Tamandua tetradactyla: one gene and its partner. The protein of the gene in region 2 interacts with the protein of the main gene of each other region in a pairwise test. Links are inferred from orthologs where the notes say so. Each region holds a gene or a part of one and is shown on either strand. Other genes may lie near its edges.

Region 1 (7,577 bases), on a different chromosome or scaffold from region 2:
CTCAGGCTCTGACCTCTCCTCCCCATCCCCATCCCCAGTGCAGCAATGATAGTGACAGCTGAGGACATAGCCCATATGCACTGATGCATTAGTGCCAATTAGGATAGGCACCTTGCAGCTGGGTGCATGGCTTGGTGAGTGGAAACAGGCTGAATTTCAGCCCTACCCCCTCCTACCCCTACCCCCTACCCGCCCCAGCCAGGAGCACTTACGCAGTGGTTATCCTGGACAACCATATATTGCAACCCTGATGCAGAAACAGAGCCTTCTCCTGGCCTTCAAATGCCCATAGCAAACACCAATTCCTAAAAAGTGACTTGTTGGGGGAGATGAGGCACTAGAAGGGCACATCCCACCCCCAGATGTATCCTTAAAATCCTTGGGCAGCCACTGTTGCGCCTGAATTTCAGTGTGCTTTTCAACAGGCATTATCAATTTTAGTTTTCTATTCAGGCTTGGTGTTGACAGCGTCATTTCAGATGAAATGGAGAAAAGGTTGAGAGCTTCTAATGTAGTGTCCTTAGGAAAATAACACTACAGTGCTTTGTCACACTTTAAAATCCATGGACAAAGGAAAGAACATAGAAGAAAGTCAGCGAGGATGTTTATTCATTTAGCAAACATTTCTTAAGCACCTGGGTTGAGACAGTGGGCTAAGCGGCAGGTTCAAAGGTGACTAGAACAAGAGTCCCTCTGCCTGGCAATCCCCACCACCACCTCCATGCCCCGGAAAACCCTTACTGTCATCTCCCGAGTTTGCAGTTCAAAAAGCTTGTCTTTGGTGAAGCTTTCTCCTATTTCCATCTACATCTAGTTTCTTCATAGCACTTTGAGTGTCTTTCTAGGCACTTATCCCATTTTATTATAATTACTTCTTGACGACACTGGTATTTCCAGTAAAACATAGACCCCTGGGGCTTGTCACTTTCATATTTATATCCCCAAGCTTGCCCCAGGCCACATATTTAGATGGAAAAGATGTGAATTTGGTAAATGAATGAATATTGAGCATGATACTTTACATCTATGAATTAGTTTATAAAGCATTTATCATATAATTTTTCAAAATATATCTTTATAATATCTTTTTCTGTGAGGCATGTAGAAAAGTCTAATGTTATTATTTCCATTTACAGAGAACTCAAAGGGATCAGTGCCAAAGTCATTTAGTATTTGAATTCAGATTTTTTTCATTTCTATTCTATTTCCATCCTATCTTGCTGTTTCTCTTACTATGTCTGGCAAATCACTGGTGAAAAGTATCCATTCTTACCAAAAATTGATTACAGGAATATGATACGGTCTTTTCTGTAAAAGAGCTGGAAAAAGCCAAGGGATCTCGATCCGTCCTCATTGTCTAGTGAAACATTCCTGCATTTAGGATTTAAACACTGAAGAGTGATTGCTTTAGTCTCCTAGCCGCTAAAACAGATGCCAGACACTGGGTTGGCTTAACAAGAGGAGCTGGCTCAGGGTTTCAGAGTTCAGAAGGCTTGCTTCCTCCCAGGGTCAATTGATTCTAGCTGGTCGACAGCGTTTGGTTCCTTGGCTCTTGTGTCATATTACAATGCAGGTAGCAATGTCTTCTTTCTTTTCCAGTTCCTTTGACTTCTGGCTTTGGCTGCTCCCCCTGGCTTCCCTTTCCACGTGACTTTCACCCTGCTTATAAAGGATGCCCGTGACCCAGATCAAAGCCCAACCTGATTTAGTTGGGCCACGCCTTAGCTGAAGTGACATCATGAAGATGTGTAGCCTAAATACAGGCTAAGACCAAGAGCATGTCCTAACTCAGGTACACTGTTCAGTCCACCACAGTGACCTTCCAGTCTCACAAACGTGATCATGTTATTGCTTCTCTGGTTAATTTCCCATACTGCAGCAAGAGGCTCTTTTAAGAACATTACATCTGTTCAAGTCATTCCCCTGTTTAAATTCCTTCTGTGGCTCCTCCTTGCCGTCAGGATCTGTTACTTTGCCTGCTGGGAGGGCCTTCATGATCTGGCCTCTGCTGAGCCTTCCAGCCTTATTTCTTTCTTTGGCTGCCTCTGCTCCTCTCCACCCTGAATGTACCTTGCATCAGCTGCCCTGAACTTCCTGAAGTTCCAAGGACGATGCACTGTCCTCTTTCAGCCAGGAGGCTTGGAAACCATGAGGTTGGAGTAGCCTGCCTGAAAGTAGTCCCCCAGGCAGTGCTGCAGTGAGAGGTGGAGCTGAAAGGAAGCAGCCAGGGAAGTTACCAATACTAGCATCATCCTCAAAACAATGGAAAGTTCCTTGGAGGCAGGGATGGCAATTGTCTTGCTTGTGTCCCTCTCCCTGACTTGCAGGGTCAAGTCTTAAGCACATGAAACCAATTCTGAATGGGATGAAATCACCTTCTCAGGAAATATTCTGCAATCTGCTTGGTTATTTTGGGAGGGGGCCCATTTACTAAGCAGAATGAGAGTCAGCACACCATAACAGCACCGCCAATTCATCCATTCCTTGAATGAATTCCTAATCACCTTGGTGATTCCTAATCACCATATGTATGGATCACCTACTATATGCCTGATACATTGGGACTATAATAACAATCAGGAGCCTTATGCCAATTGGTAAAAACTGGAAAATTAATCGATGATTAGAAGACAGTCTGTAACTAACACAGGGAGAAGGAGAGCTAGCTCAGACTTGGAATATCAGGGAAAGCTTTACAAAGGAGATGATACCTAACTTGAGTCCTGAAGGACAAGCAGAAGCCACTTAGCTGTGTGTATGTACACATTCACACGTGTCTGTGTGTCCTAGCGTTCCAGACAAGGGAAGCAGCAGGTGTAAAGCCTTGGAGTCAAAGCTAAAAAGCATGGCAGATTCTGAGACATGCAAATGATTCTGCCAGTCCGGACCTGACTGATCCTATGACCCTTCCTAGTGACCTCAAATTCTGGGTTAGTATTTCCCAGACATAACTGAAATACCATCTGAGAAGGCTAAGTATAATTTAGCTCCTGGCTGTGAATTACATCTCCCGAGAATCTCTGAGTGCAGGGAAGAGAAGAAGGAAGGGTAGATGATGAATATGCAGAAGATGGAGGGCTGGCAGTGATATTTATATTGCAATTTACCTTCAACAGCAGCCTTCTTTTGGAACTCTGAGGAGCAGGGATGACCTTGGCCCAATTTATCCAGAAAATGTGGGATCCTAGCTTCTGTTATGTAGATGCAAGCAAGGTTCTCCTTGGGTCACACAGCAGGAGCTTGACATTTGGATAATGTGATTGATGAGTTCTGTCCTCCCACTGAGGACCCCCATGGTGAGAGAGAACTCCGGAAAGGAAGTAGCCCAGGGACTTTCCAAACCGAACATCTGCAATGAAATGCAGAACATGCTGAGCTACACAAGACCAGACTTCCCACCATTAACAAAACTTTAAAATTCAGCCTTCTTCCCTAGAAGACCTCTCTGAAAGCATCCTAGCTGGATCACTTTCCTGAGAAGGTGATTTCATCCCATTCAGAATCGGTTTCATGTGCTTAGGACTTGACCCCGCAGATCAGGGAGAGGGACAAAGATTGTGTGATTTTCTCAGCGTGCTTGTCACCTGGTAGAAAGTCAAGCTCCAAGGGCATGTGTTATAGGGATCTGGGCAGATCCAGAGTGTAGGCATTGCAGAGAGGATGAGATACCAGTCCAGAGTAAAATAAGGGGCCCAGGGCACCTAGTGCTGACAGAAGGCTTTTGGGGAAGAAGTCACGGGGAACAAGAAATTCCAAAGAAGAGAAGGGCATGGGTCAGGGAACTTCTTACAGACCCCTAGTCTATTCACAATTTTCTCTAGGACTGTAGATACCTCAGAGTCATTATGAAATCTACTATCCTCGTCCCTCCCCTTCTCTCCTCTTAGAACTCAATGAAAAAAAGTATTAATTGTGCAGATCCTTTATACTATCAGTGAACAGTTTATAGCTCTTTGAGAATTCCCCAATTCTCTAATACCATTAGTAGTTATGAATGCTGGGCAGAAGGTAGGTTCACTCACTAGCAAAATAATAAGGCTTGCAAAGCAGCTAAGAAGACACATGACAGATTTCAATTTGTGTTGAGATCTTTATAGGTTCCTTCTCATTTAGACATCCTATAGACTTGGGAAATTGATATCATTTTCTGTTTTCAAAATATCTGCATATAATAATCTTTTGATATGTCACTCTTGTGCTTTTGCTACTGTAATTGTTAGGTTCTGGTGTTAGCTTGGCCAGGTGATGATGTCCAGTTGTCTGGTCAGGCAAGCACTGGCCCGACCATTGCTGCAAGGATATTTCATGGCTGGTTGATAAACCAGAAGGTTGATGTATTAAATCATCAGTCAGTTGATTGCATCTATGATCAACTAAGGCATGTTTCCTATCAGTAAGATAACCCTGCATTCAGTGTTGTAGCTTGAGGGGTTAGAAAGGGCATTAACAGTTTGTTTGGATGGTTGGCTGAAACACGGATTCAAAGGTGGTCAACATTACCTGAGGTCAAAATGCCAGAACTGCTTTGGTGTAATGTAGATGAGGCGATCCAGAGGCTTAGAAAGATTGGAATGCTAGAGTGGGCTTATCATGGAAGACCTCAGGAATGTCCAGAGGACACATCTTTCACCAGGACCTTGAGAAATAAATTCATGAGACCAGCTACATCATCCCTGAAGAGTTCTTGTACTCGCTTTTCTCTATAGATCAGATATTACTCTGGGAACTGTTGTCACTGAGCTGGAATCCTTAAATACAATGGGAATGATTGGATCCCAAGTTAGCAGAAGCCATGTGGTGACAGTTAATCACCACATACAAGGTGGGGGTGGCCACCATAATGGACAGCAGACTCAAAACAGGGGTCAAAATAATCTGACCCACAGAGACTTGTGGCATTGACTAGTAGATCATGGGGTACCTAGAAGTAAAACAGATAGGTTCTACTAAATTCTTGTTTGAGCTGTATAAGCAGAAGAATTCTAGGTCAAGTAAATAGAAGTCCAACATGAGTTACAAAAAACAGAGAGTCATGGGCCCTTAATCAATTTCCAGACTTGGAAAGTCTACAGACCCAGAGCCCCTTGAATGAGGGAAGGGCTTGTTACCCTTGCAGAAGGACCCTTTAACCCCACCCCAAAATTTATAGTTAACCTTCCCCCCAGCCTTCCAAGGAGACCTACGGCCTTTTACCAGGGAGACTGTGCATTGGGGAAAAGGACATGATCAGATATTTCAGGAATTATTAGACATTGGCTCAGAAGTGACACTAATTCCAGAAGACTTAAAACGTCACTCTTGGAACGACATTGGTAGCTCAGCAGGCAGAGTTCTCACCTGCCATGCCGGAGACCCACATTCACTTCCCAGTGCCTACCCATGTGAAAAAAAAAAAAATCACTCTCATTCACCAGTCAGAGTAGGGGTTTATGGAGGTCATGTGATTGATGGAGTTTTAGCTCAGGTTCATCTCACAGTGGGTCCACTGGGTCCCCAGTCCCATTCTGAGGTCATTTCCCTAGTTCCAGAATTCATAATTGGAATTCACATACTCAGCAACCAGCAGAATCCCCACATTGTTTCTCTGACTCATGGAGTGAGGGCTATTATGGCAGGAATGGCGAAGTAGAAGTCCCTAGAACTGCCCCTACCTAGCAAAATAATGAATCAGAAGCAATACCGTATTCTTGGAGGGATTGCAGAGATTAGTGCCACTCTTTATATATACATATATATATATGTTTTTATTGACAAGTCTTCACACACATACGGTCCATACATGGTGTACTAGTTTGTAAGCCATTGGAATGAGATATACCAGAAATGGAACAGCTTTTAAAAAGGGGAATTTATTAAGTTTCAAGTTTACAGTTCTAAGGCTGTGAAAATGTCCAAATTAAGGCATCCAGGAAAAGATACCTTGGTTCAAGAAGACTAATGAAGTTCAAGGTTTCTCTCTCAGATGGTAGGGCACATGGTGATGTCTGCTAGCTTTCTCTCCAGGCTTCCTCAACTTTATCTCCACGGCTCTGTCAGTTCTGGTTGCTCTTTCCAAAACAGTTCCCTCTTAAAGGGCTCCAGTAAGCAACCCCACCTTGAATGGGTGGAGACACATCTCCATGGAAACCATCTAATCAAAAGTTGCCACCTACATTCAGGTAAGTCATGTCTCCATGGAGACAATAAAAAAGATCCCACCCAGAAATATTGAATGAGCATTAAATGACATGGCTTTTCTGGGGCACACAACAGATTTAAACTGGTACACATGGTGTACAAACAATGGCTCACAATATCATCACATAGTTGTGTATTCATCACCATGATCATTTTTAGAACATTTGCATCATTCCAGGAAAAAGAAATAAAAAGAAAAAACTCATACATCCCATATCCCTCACCCCTCCCTCTCATTAATCACCTGTATTTCAATCTACCCAATTTATTTTACCCCTTACTCCCCTTATTATTTATTTTTTATCCATAATTTTTACTCATCGTCCATACCCTGAATAAAAGGAACCCCAGACACAAGGTTTTCATAATCACACCATCACATTGTACAAGTCAGACCATTATACAATTGTTCTCAAGAATCAAGACTAGTGCCACTCTTAAGGACTTCAAAGATGCAGGGGTGGTGATTCTCACCATATCTCCATTCAACTCTTCTATTTGGCATGTGCAGAAAACAATGGGTCTTGGAAGGTGACAGTGGATTATCATAACCTTAACCAGGTTGTGACTCCAATTGGAGCTGCTGTTCCAGATGTGGTATCATTGCTTGAGCAAATCAACACATTGCCTGGTACCTGGTATGCAGCTATTGATCTGGCAAATGTTTTTTTCTCAATAGCTATCAGTAAGGGCCACCAGAAACAGTTTGCATTTACCTGGCAAGGCCAGCAGTAGACCTTTATTGTCCTGCCTCAGGACAACTCTCCAGCCCTATGGCACAATCTTGTTCTCAGGGACCTTGATCATTTCTCCCTCTCACAGGACATCACATTCGTCCATTATATTGATGATATCATGTTGGTTGGACCTAGAAAACCAAGAAGTAGCAACTACTCCAGACTTATTAGTAAGGCATTCGTGTGCCAGGGGATGGGAGACAAATCCAACAAAAATACAGGGGCCTTCCACCTCAGTGAAATTTCTAGGTGTCCAGTGGTGTGGGGCATGTCAAGAAAAACCTTCTAAGGTGAAGGATAAGCTGTTGCAACTGGCCTGTCCTGTGACCAAAAAAGAGGTGCAATACCTAGTTGGCCTCTTTGGATTTTGGAGACAACATATTCCTCATTTGGGTGTGCTACTCCAGCCCATTTACCAAGTGACTGGAAAAGCTTCTAGTTTTGAGTGGGGACTGAAACAAAAGAAAGCTCTGTGAGATTTCCAGCTTGCTGCCCCCTGGGCCATATAATCCAGCAGATCCAATGGTGCTGGAAGTGTTAGTTGCAAAGAAGGATGCTTCCTGGAGCCTCTGGGAGTCTCCTATAGGAAAATCACAACACAAACCCTTAGCATTTTGGAGCAAAGCCTTACCATCCACTGCAGATAACTACTCTCCTTTTGAG
Region 2 (8,603 bases):
CTTGTTTCCCTGCCAAAGCCTGGAGGCTCATTCTCTTGGCCCAGGGCACGCTGTTTTCTTTAATACTGACCAAGCCACAATGATAAGCCAGGCCCAGCTGCCAGGTGCTGGTGGGAGGGACACACCTTGTGTCCAGTGGGACAGGAAAAAGAACAAAGGAATCAAAGACCAGTGGGAAGGCCATGGCTCGGGGCCAAGGGACACACAACATCTGGACCGTGGGGTCAAGCCTGCCTCAAGTGGCTTCTTCTGGAGGGGCAGCGAGACAAATGCAAATGACGGGATCGTCACCATTTCCAGGCCTCGCAGCCACCCTCTCTGCTGGACATGGCACTGAGGCTGAGCAAAGGGACGCTCAGCTGGACCCAGTCTCGGACATGCATTCTTTCCTTTGGCTGTTTCCCACATACTTCCCCACCCCTAAGCAAGGAACTTTCGTGGACGTGGGGGTTTTGTGTGTGTGTGTGTGTGTTTGCAGGCCCCCAGGCCTGTGTTATTTCAAGACAAACCACAGCTGAATCTTCTGACACCCTCTGTAGAGCAACACGGAAAATCTGAGTCCCCGACAAGTGACATCGTTCCTTTAACTCCTGCCCCAGAATTTCCCTACAGCTGACCCTAGGTTGGCTGCACGTGCTGCCTGCAGTGCTGTTACATCGCCCTGCCTCCTGCAGCCCTTACAGGAAAGGGGTCTGCTCTGCCGGACCCTTGGCTTGCGTTATATAATTGAATCCTCGCCACAGCCCAGCACGCCAGAGATTACAGACGGGGAAACTGAGGCTCAGAGACACTAACAGACTTGCCCATGCTTCCTTGCCATGAAGTGGTCTTCTACTGAGGACGAGACTGGGAGGGGGAGGAGAAGCCCCTCGATGGCAGCTCTGGAGCCCCCCGTCCTCTGGGGTTTGTGCCTCCTGGCCCCCACCATGCCACAGCCCTTCCGATGCTGCGTGAGTTCAGCCACCAGAAGCAGCACCCAGGGGGACCCCTCATAGTGCCCGGAGGCAATGACATCGGGGAAGCAGGATGGCTTTGGGGCCAGGTGGCCCTGCTTTCAAATGTCTTAAATCGTGTGGCTTTGGACAGGATTTGCTTCTTCAGGCTCGGTTTAGGCACCCTAAAATGGGTATCCAACTGTTTCCCTCATAGTATTCCTGTAAGGGTAAGGAATCACTGACAAAAAGGGCCAGACACCAGGCAGCTGGGAACATGAAGCCTGCCTGACCCCAGCCACCAGCATCCCGTAAGCCCTTGACCTTGTGCAAGGTCAGCAGGATTGTGTTTGAATATAATCAATGCATCTCCCCATTGCAGGGAAAGCAGTTTCCAAACCAAGTATTAAGATCACCAGCAGAGCTTATGAGAGGAGCTTTGGATTAGGAACCCCCATTCCATCCCCCGGCCCCAGCTGAAGTCTGTTCTGACCTCTATGACCTTGTCATTTAAACCCCGAGGGTCCCGGAGCCCGGCGGCAGAGGGCGCAGCCCCAGCAAGGGTTTGGAGGTGCGTGCACAAGGCCTGGGGGCGGGGGTCGCCAAGGAAGGAGGGCGGGTGAGAAAGGCAGGCCCCTCCCTTCTGTTTTAGGAGGAGAGTCTGGCCTGCAGGGAGGGTGATGACTGGGCAGGAGTTGGGGAGAAGCACCGGCTGGGGGGCTGGGGTTAGAACAGATTAGAGGGGAGAGGAAAGGTTGGTCCAGGGACCGAGGAGATGGGGTGTCCTGCAGCCAGGCTGCCTTCCCTGCTCACTAGCTGTGTAACTTCAGGTCATTACTTGACCTTTCAGAGTTTCAGTATCCCCTTTTGTAAAATAGGAATAACAGATCACCTACCTTATAAGGCTGTTTGAATGAGTCATATGTAGGAAGTGGAATGTAAATATTAGCCATTATTATGTGAGACATTCAGGAGACAGGATTGACAGGACTTGGTAATTGATGAAGGAGAAGGAAAGAAAGATTTTAAAGTACCTGGGAACTGCAGCGTTCCCTGTCCTTTTGGGGGAGAAGGGGGCAGTGTCTCCCTCTTGGTCCAGTCTTGGCCAGCTCACTACCTCCCAGTTCTGGAGCCAGAAGAAACACTTATGACCCTAGCCCATCACTTCTCGGTCCAGCCCTGAGAGTGGAGAGGGGGTACACTGGGAAGAAGGCTAGCCTGGGCAGCTGCCAGGGAAGAGGGCTAGCCTGGGAGGGAACCGAGCTAGCTCTGACTCTTTTCACTCCTCTGCATCCAACATCAAAGAGCTCATTCTCAGAGGAATTGGCTGCCCTCGAATGATGTCAGACTTATTCCCCACACCTCTCATTACCCCACCTCCCCTCCCTGGCCCCGGGAGGCCACACTGCTGTTCTCTCACTGCCGGTGAGCAGGCAGTGGTTGGCACTTTCAAGGCCATTCTAGGAGCACAGCGGCTCAGCCTGGGGTGGAGGAAGCCAGGGGCTGCCACTGCTCTTACTGACAACAACTATAACGACAGTACCCATGGACGCTCCCTAGGAATATCCTGGGCCATTTTGCTTACTGCAAAGTCTGGCATACAGCTTGGCACATCGCAGGTATTCAATGAGTGTTTGTTGAATGAATGAGTGAATAAACTAACAAACCAAAGAACAACTACCAGGGATGTGCCCTGTGCTGTGCTAAGTACTTAAATATTTTCACATTCAAGCCCTAGACCTTCCCTGTGAAGTAAGTCAACATCTGTGAAATGTCAGCACCATTTCACAGATGAGGAAACTGAGGTTCAGCTGCCTGAGGTCACCCAGCTAGCCAACTGCAGGGCCAGGTTCCCAGAGCCCACCATTGTGTACCCACTGAGGACTGCTCAGCTGATTGGGTAACAGATGGCACCATGAACCAAGGATGGGTCAAGAGGCCCAGGAGCTAAACTTGCTTCCAGAGCACACTTGCTGTGTGATCTTAGGCAATCACAGAACCTCTCTGAGCATCTGTTGCCATAAAGGCGAGAGGAAGTTGGCCCTGTTTGCTTTGTAATAATTATTTATGGTGAGGCCCCAGGGAACCCCCAATTGTACATGGGAAAGAACCTACTCCCATGAGCCTGGGCACCTCCCAGGGCCTCTTGTCTCTCCCAGCGGCTCCCTGGGCACCATCTGCAGAGGCTGGAGTCTGAGCTAACCACACGTTCCTGTGTCAACAAAACAGGTTCATCCGGTGTCACTGGGCCTGCCCCCACCCCCAGGCCCCCAAGGAGTCCTCGCTCTCACCTGAAGACATCTAGCTGAGTCTTGGTACCCAGCACACACACGGCATGGGTGGGCTTCTCCGGGGCCACACGGATCATTGCTCCCAGGGCCATTGTCCTGGAGCTCATCCCTCCAGCTGCAGGAAACCCCTGGACTGGCTCCTTTATACTGCCCAGCAAAGGCCATGAGTCAGCACCTGTGGTTTGCAGCCCCAGAAGCTAAGCCCCTCCCTGCTCAGATTTCAGGGCGTGTGTGAGCAGCCCTCAGACCCAGTAGGTGTCAATGCCAGAATCGGACAGCCCAGGGCTGCCAGTTTCCTGGGAAGGCCCAAGGGCTTGGGGAGCCTTGGGAGGGGTGGTAGAGGCCCAGGTTCTCAAACCCATGGCCCATTCCTTCCTGGAGGCCATCTGCATCCGCCCCAACCTCACCTGAGTTCACCCAACAAGAGAAAGCAAGAAAACTGGGGCTTGGGAGATTCTAGGCAAGACAGCATAACCCGGGCTACACCCTCCAGTCAAACCAGAGTCAGGTCAGGTCTCCCAGGCCAGGACGCCTACGTGACAGCTAACCCTTTTGCAACATTTTCTGAGTCCAGGCACCTTTCTCCCCACTTTAATCCCCACTTTAATTTGAGTGGATTAACTCATCACAGAAAGCCTCGGAAGGAGGTACTCTTATTATCTCCTCATTTTATCTTCCCAGCAACTCTCTGAGATTAATACCATTCGCATTCCCATTTTACAGAGGAAAAAACTGAGGTTCAAATGACATTTATTAGCTGTCAGTCCGTGTGACTCGTGCCTTTCAGATTTCTTTGTATCTACTCCATGACAGCGCAACAGATATGTGTGCATGATGTTGCTACCCATTTTTGGGGGTTGTTCTTGTTGCTACCCATTTTACAGAAGGGAAAGTCAAGGCCCAGAGAGTAAAAGTGACTTGTCCAAGGCCCCATAGCTTGGGCGTGGCAGAGCTGGGAGCAGAAGGCGAGCTTCCTGACCTAGAAGTTGGTGTTCTCTGTACCCTCCAGGATGGCTGCCTCTTTCCAGGGCATCTGGGCATCAGACTGGACAGTTCAGGGCAGGGCCATGGCAGCCACAGGGATGCTTGGCCACAGAGGCACTTGGATACAGGGCTGTGGTTGCCCCTGGGTCGTTCGTGCAGGCTTCTGCCTGCTGCAGGGAAAATGGGGGAGGAGGGCTGGAAACACCCAGGAGCACCACAGGGAGATCTGAAAGGAGCACCGAGCCTTTGGGGATTGGGGATTTTGTGTGTGTTTGTCTGCTTTGGCATCTAAACAAAGAGTTTGCCTCTTTAATTAAGAGCCGGTCTTTGGGTTAGGCAGGCCCGAATCAAAACCTGCCCTAGGTCCTCATTCCCACAAAGTGGGTCCCACCATGGTGCCACCTTATAGAGAGAGGGCCCCTAAGGCTCATGGAGGCTAAATCCCTCTCCCAAGTTCCCACCACCCATAAACTCGGGATCCAGGATCCAGCCCCCTTCTCTCAGCTCAAAGCCCATTTTCCTTCCCAGTAGATACTGCAGCCAGCCGGATGCTCGGATGTGTCTACACAGCTACTTGTGCGTGTAAGTCTCAATTCGCCCGACTTCTTGGCTGGCCTGTGATTAGAACTAGTATGAGTTCCTTATGAAAGTTGGCAGGAGGGAACCACCAATTGTCAGAGTTGGGAGGGCGCTTGGAGGACACCAAATCCAGTCCTCACTCGCTACAGACGGAGAATCAAAAGGGGGGGTGTGTGTGCGATACTTCCACAGTCACAGCAAGTCAGTGGGATGGCTAGAAACTACCCACATCTTAGGTCTCCTGGAGTAGTTTCCTTTTTTCTTTTTCTATGGCAATTTGAGGCTTAAACTTGCTGTGAATAAGTTTAAGAGAATAAAGAGGACACACCAAAAACAAGTTAGTTAATTCAACAAAGATTTACAGAGTGTCACCTGTTTGCCAGGCACTGTTCCACGCTCTGGGGATATTCAGTGAATAAAATAGACAGAGATCCCAGCCTCCATGGAGCTTATTTTCTAACAGAAAGAGACGATCATAAACAAACGTAATAAACGAATTATATAGTATGTTAGGGGGGGCACTGCTATGGAGAATGGAAAACAGGGCAGAGCAAGGACCATCAGGAGTGCAGGGGGCAAGGGGCAGTTTGCAATTTTAAATAGGGTGAGCAGGACAGGTGACATTTGAGCAACAGCTTGAGAGAGGTGACAATGTGGATATTTGGGGGACGAGCGTTCCAGGAGAGGGAACAGCCAGTGCAAAGGCCCTGAGGAAGAGAGAGATATGCCTAGTGGGTTCAAGGAAGAGCAAGGAGGCAGGTATGGCTGGAGTGAAGGGAAGGAGGGAGAGAGTAGTAGAAGAAGAGGAAGTGCAGAGAACAGGAGACTTTCAACTCTCTGCACTCTCTCTGCATTGGGTGGGGGGGGACTTGGGCGTTTCCTCCAAGTGACATGGGGAGCCATGAGGGTAGGGGGTGTGGTTTGAACAGAAGAGGAACAAATCTGGTTTATTCGAACATGACTACTTTGGCTGCTGAGACCCTGGCCTGGCTGTTAACTTCACAGAATATGTCAACCCTTTCAAACCCGGAAGGGAGCCTCAGAGTTGGGAAACAAAATTCCCCCTGCATGTGGAGGTTACTGGCTCAGAATCGGGACAGAAACCCTAGGGGAAGGGGCCCTCTTCCTGCTGAAAGGCTGAGTCACGGGCCTGGCCTCCGGCCAGGAGGAAGGATGATATTCTGAGGGTTGCCCAATGGCCTCTGGGTGTCTGGGCCCAGGTCACCGAGCACCTGAGCTGACATCCTGGATGTAGACAGCCCGGCTCACCTGCCCCTGGTCCCTGCGAGGGCGTTATTCCGGGAAAAGCAACTGGGGTCAGAGAGGCTGCCCGAAGCCTCTGAAACCCAGCACAGTGCAGAGCTGCATTTGGAGTTGATGGCCGTTCATTCCTTCAGCATCGTTTTGTCCACAGGTACAGTTAGGATTATTTATTTAGTGTCCATTCACAAGTATTCACTAAACACGGACTCGGTGCCTGGCATGCTCTAAGAGGCTCATTTAAGCTCATTTAAGGACTCAGGGAGGTGACGGCGGCCACCGTCTATTAAACAGCTCCTCTGGGCCACACCCGTTTTATTTCTACTTCTCACCAGAACCTAGTGGGGCAGGAATGTCATTCTCATTTCTACAGAGGAGGGTAACACGGTGCTCAGTGTCAAAACTGCCTTTGTCTGCTCTGGTGCAGCCCTTTCCTGGGCCAGCCCCTGCCACGCACCAGCTCTGCTCTTCACAGCCGCCTTGCCGCCTGAGGTCCACATTCTCCCCACTTTCCAGGTGAGGAGACTGAGCCTCAGAGGGGTTAGTAACTCACACGGGCTATACAGACAGCAAGTGGGGACGCTCGAGTTTAGCTGTGCTCCGCCTGACTCCCAAGCCTGTCTGTCTTTGTCCGGCTCTGCCCATCACACAGCCACCCACAGGCCGGGTCCCTCTGCCAATGAGCTCTGAAGCTCCTTCCAGCATGAAGACGTCCAGCGCCTCTCCCTTTCCAACACCAGAACTTCAAGCAGAGAATTGGGAGCATCAGGGTCATCCAGACTGGCTGAAGCTTGCAAATCTCTCCCTCTGCACACATACCCTGCAGGGCCCTGCTGCTCACTCTGCTGTCCTTCACGAATCCTTCCCGGTCACCCTTGGGTGCATGGAGGCAAAATGATGATTCTCACACTGGCTAGGCCCCACCTGGACCAGTTCACATGCGCTCGCTGGTGCAGACCTCAAGCCAGCTGAGAAAGGAGGCTTTGTCAGCCACTGACAGGTGGGCAGCAGGTCGGGACAGAGGTGGAGATGGAACGCAGGCCTGTCTGCACCAAATCTTGTCCTCTTCCACTCTGCTGTCTCTGAGGAAAGGAAAAGGGATCCAGCCCAGCTGAAGGTCAGGGCTCCTGTGTTTATGGACCAGCTCCTGTGTTCTGGACATTTTCGTGGACTTATTTACAAACTAATAAACCCTCACTGAAAAACAAAACAACAGCCCATTTTTGGTATATTGCATTCAAACTGAAACAATCAGATAAGGTAGACTTTAGAGCAAAAAATTTATGGTACCAGCTCTCACCCTGTCCTTGACCCTCTGTGACCACATCCCTTCTACCGGCTCCCAGGGACCACGGCAGGAGAATGTCAGCACCAAAGAAAGCAGGGACTCAGCTGCCTGCTGAACCCTGAGTGCTAAACAGTGTTTGGTACATGGGTGGTGCACAATAAACACTGTTTTATTGAAGCAAAGACACCATTTGTTTTAAGATACATCCCCTGCCCCAGTAACTTTTGTTGCTTTTGCATCTTTGTCAAAAATATTTCTAGATCTATTCTACTGTACTATTGATCCACTGCCGATATCCACCATCTATTCCTCTGCCGATGTCACACAGTCTTTATGACTGTAATTGTGGATCCGTTTCTCCTTCTAGATCGATCTTTTTGCTTCATAAATTTTCAGCTCTGTTGTTTACTGCATACCCATCTAGGGTTTCTATATCTTCTTGGGGAACTGAACCTTTTATCATTGTGTAATCTTCCTGCTTCTGGTAAATTTTTTGCTCTGAAGTCTACCTTACTGATTGTTTCAGTTTGAATGCAATATACCAAAAATGGGCTGTTGCTTTTTTTCAGTGGGGGGTTATTAGTTTGTAAATAAGTCCACGAAAATGTTCAGATTAAGGCACCAAGAGGAAGACACCTTCTCAGAGGAAAGGCTGCTGGCATCTGGGTTCCTCTGCCACATGGGAAACCAATGGCAATGTCTGCTGATCCTTCGCTCCTGGGTTGGTTTCAGGGACTCTCTTTCACCTCTGGAGGCTCTTCTCTGGGTTCCATCTCAGCTCTCAGAGGTTCATCTGTCTTTTGTCTTTTCAGAAGGACTCCAGAAAGGGGATTGAGACCCACATTGAATGGGCTGGGGCACATCTCCATGGAAACAACTTAATCAGAAGTTCCCACCCAACAACATGCATGACCCCAAAGGGACAGATTAAGAGAATATGGCCTTTTATAGGGTACATAACAGCTTCAGACCAGAACACTGATATTAATAAAACCAATTTAATGCTCTAATGGTTGCATGAAATAACTTTTTCCACTCTTTTACTTTCAACCTACTTATTTCATTATATTTGAAGTGAGTTTTCTTATGGACCACATATAGTGGTCATGCTTTTAAAACATTCATCCTGCCAAGCTATCTTTTTTTTTTTCTTTTGCATGCACAGGCACCAGGAATTGAACCTGGGTCTCTGGCATGGCATGCGAGAACTCTGCCTGCTGAGCCACCATGGCCTGCCCCAAACTATTTTTTAATTGATGTATTTAGGCC

Evidence for each region. The genes of interacting proteins can lie anywhere in the genome.
Region 1: the proteins of PADI4 (region 2) and ANXA4 interact in binary tests that used the Homo sapiens proteins (3 or more experiments, as listed by UniProt). The two-hybrid records come from large-scale screens. The link is inferred for Tamandua tetradactyla from reciprocal best matches to the Homo sapiens genes PADI4 and ANXA4.

What each region holds. Positions count from the first base shown.
Region 1 is NC_135343.1:43,204,370-43,211,946, reverse strand, and holds the start of ANXA4 (annexin A4), read right to left. Parts: upstream 3,267-7,577; 5' UTR 3,108-3,266; intron 1-3,107. UniProt on the Homo sapiens protein: Calcium/phospholipid-binding protein which promotes membrane fusion and is involved in exocytosis.
Region 2 is NC_135328.1:209,024,303-209,032,905, forward strand, and holds the start of PADI4 (protein-arginine deiminase type-4), read right to left. Parts: upstream 3,400-8,603; 5' UTR 3,331-3,399; coding exon 3,224-3,330; intron 1-3,223. UniProt on the Homo sapiens protein: Catalyzes the citrullination/deimination of arginine residues of proteins such as histones, thereby playing a key role in histone code and regulation of stem cell maintenance.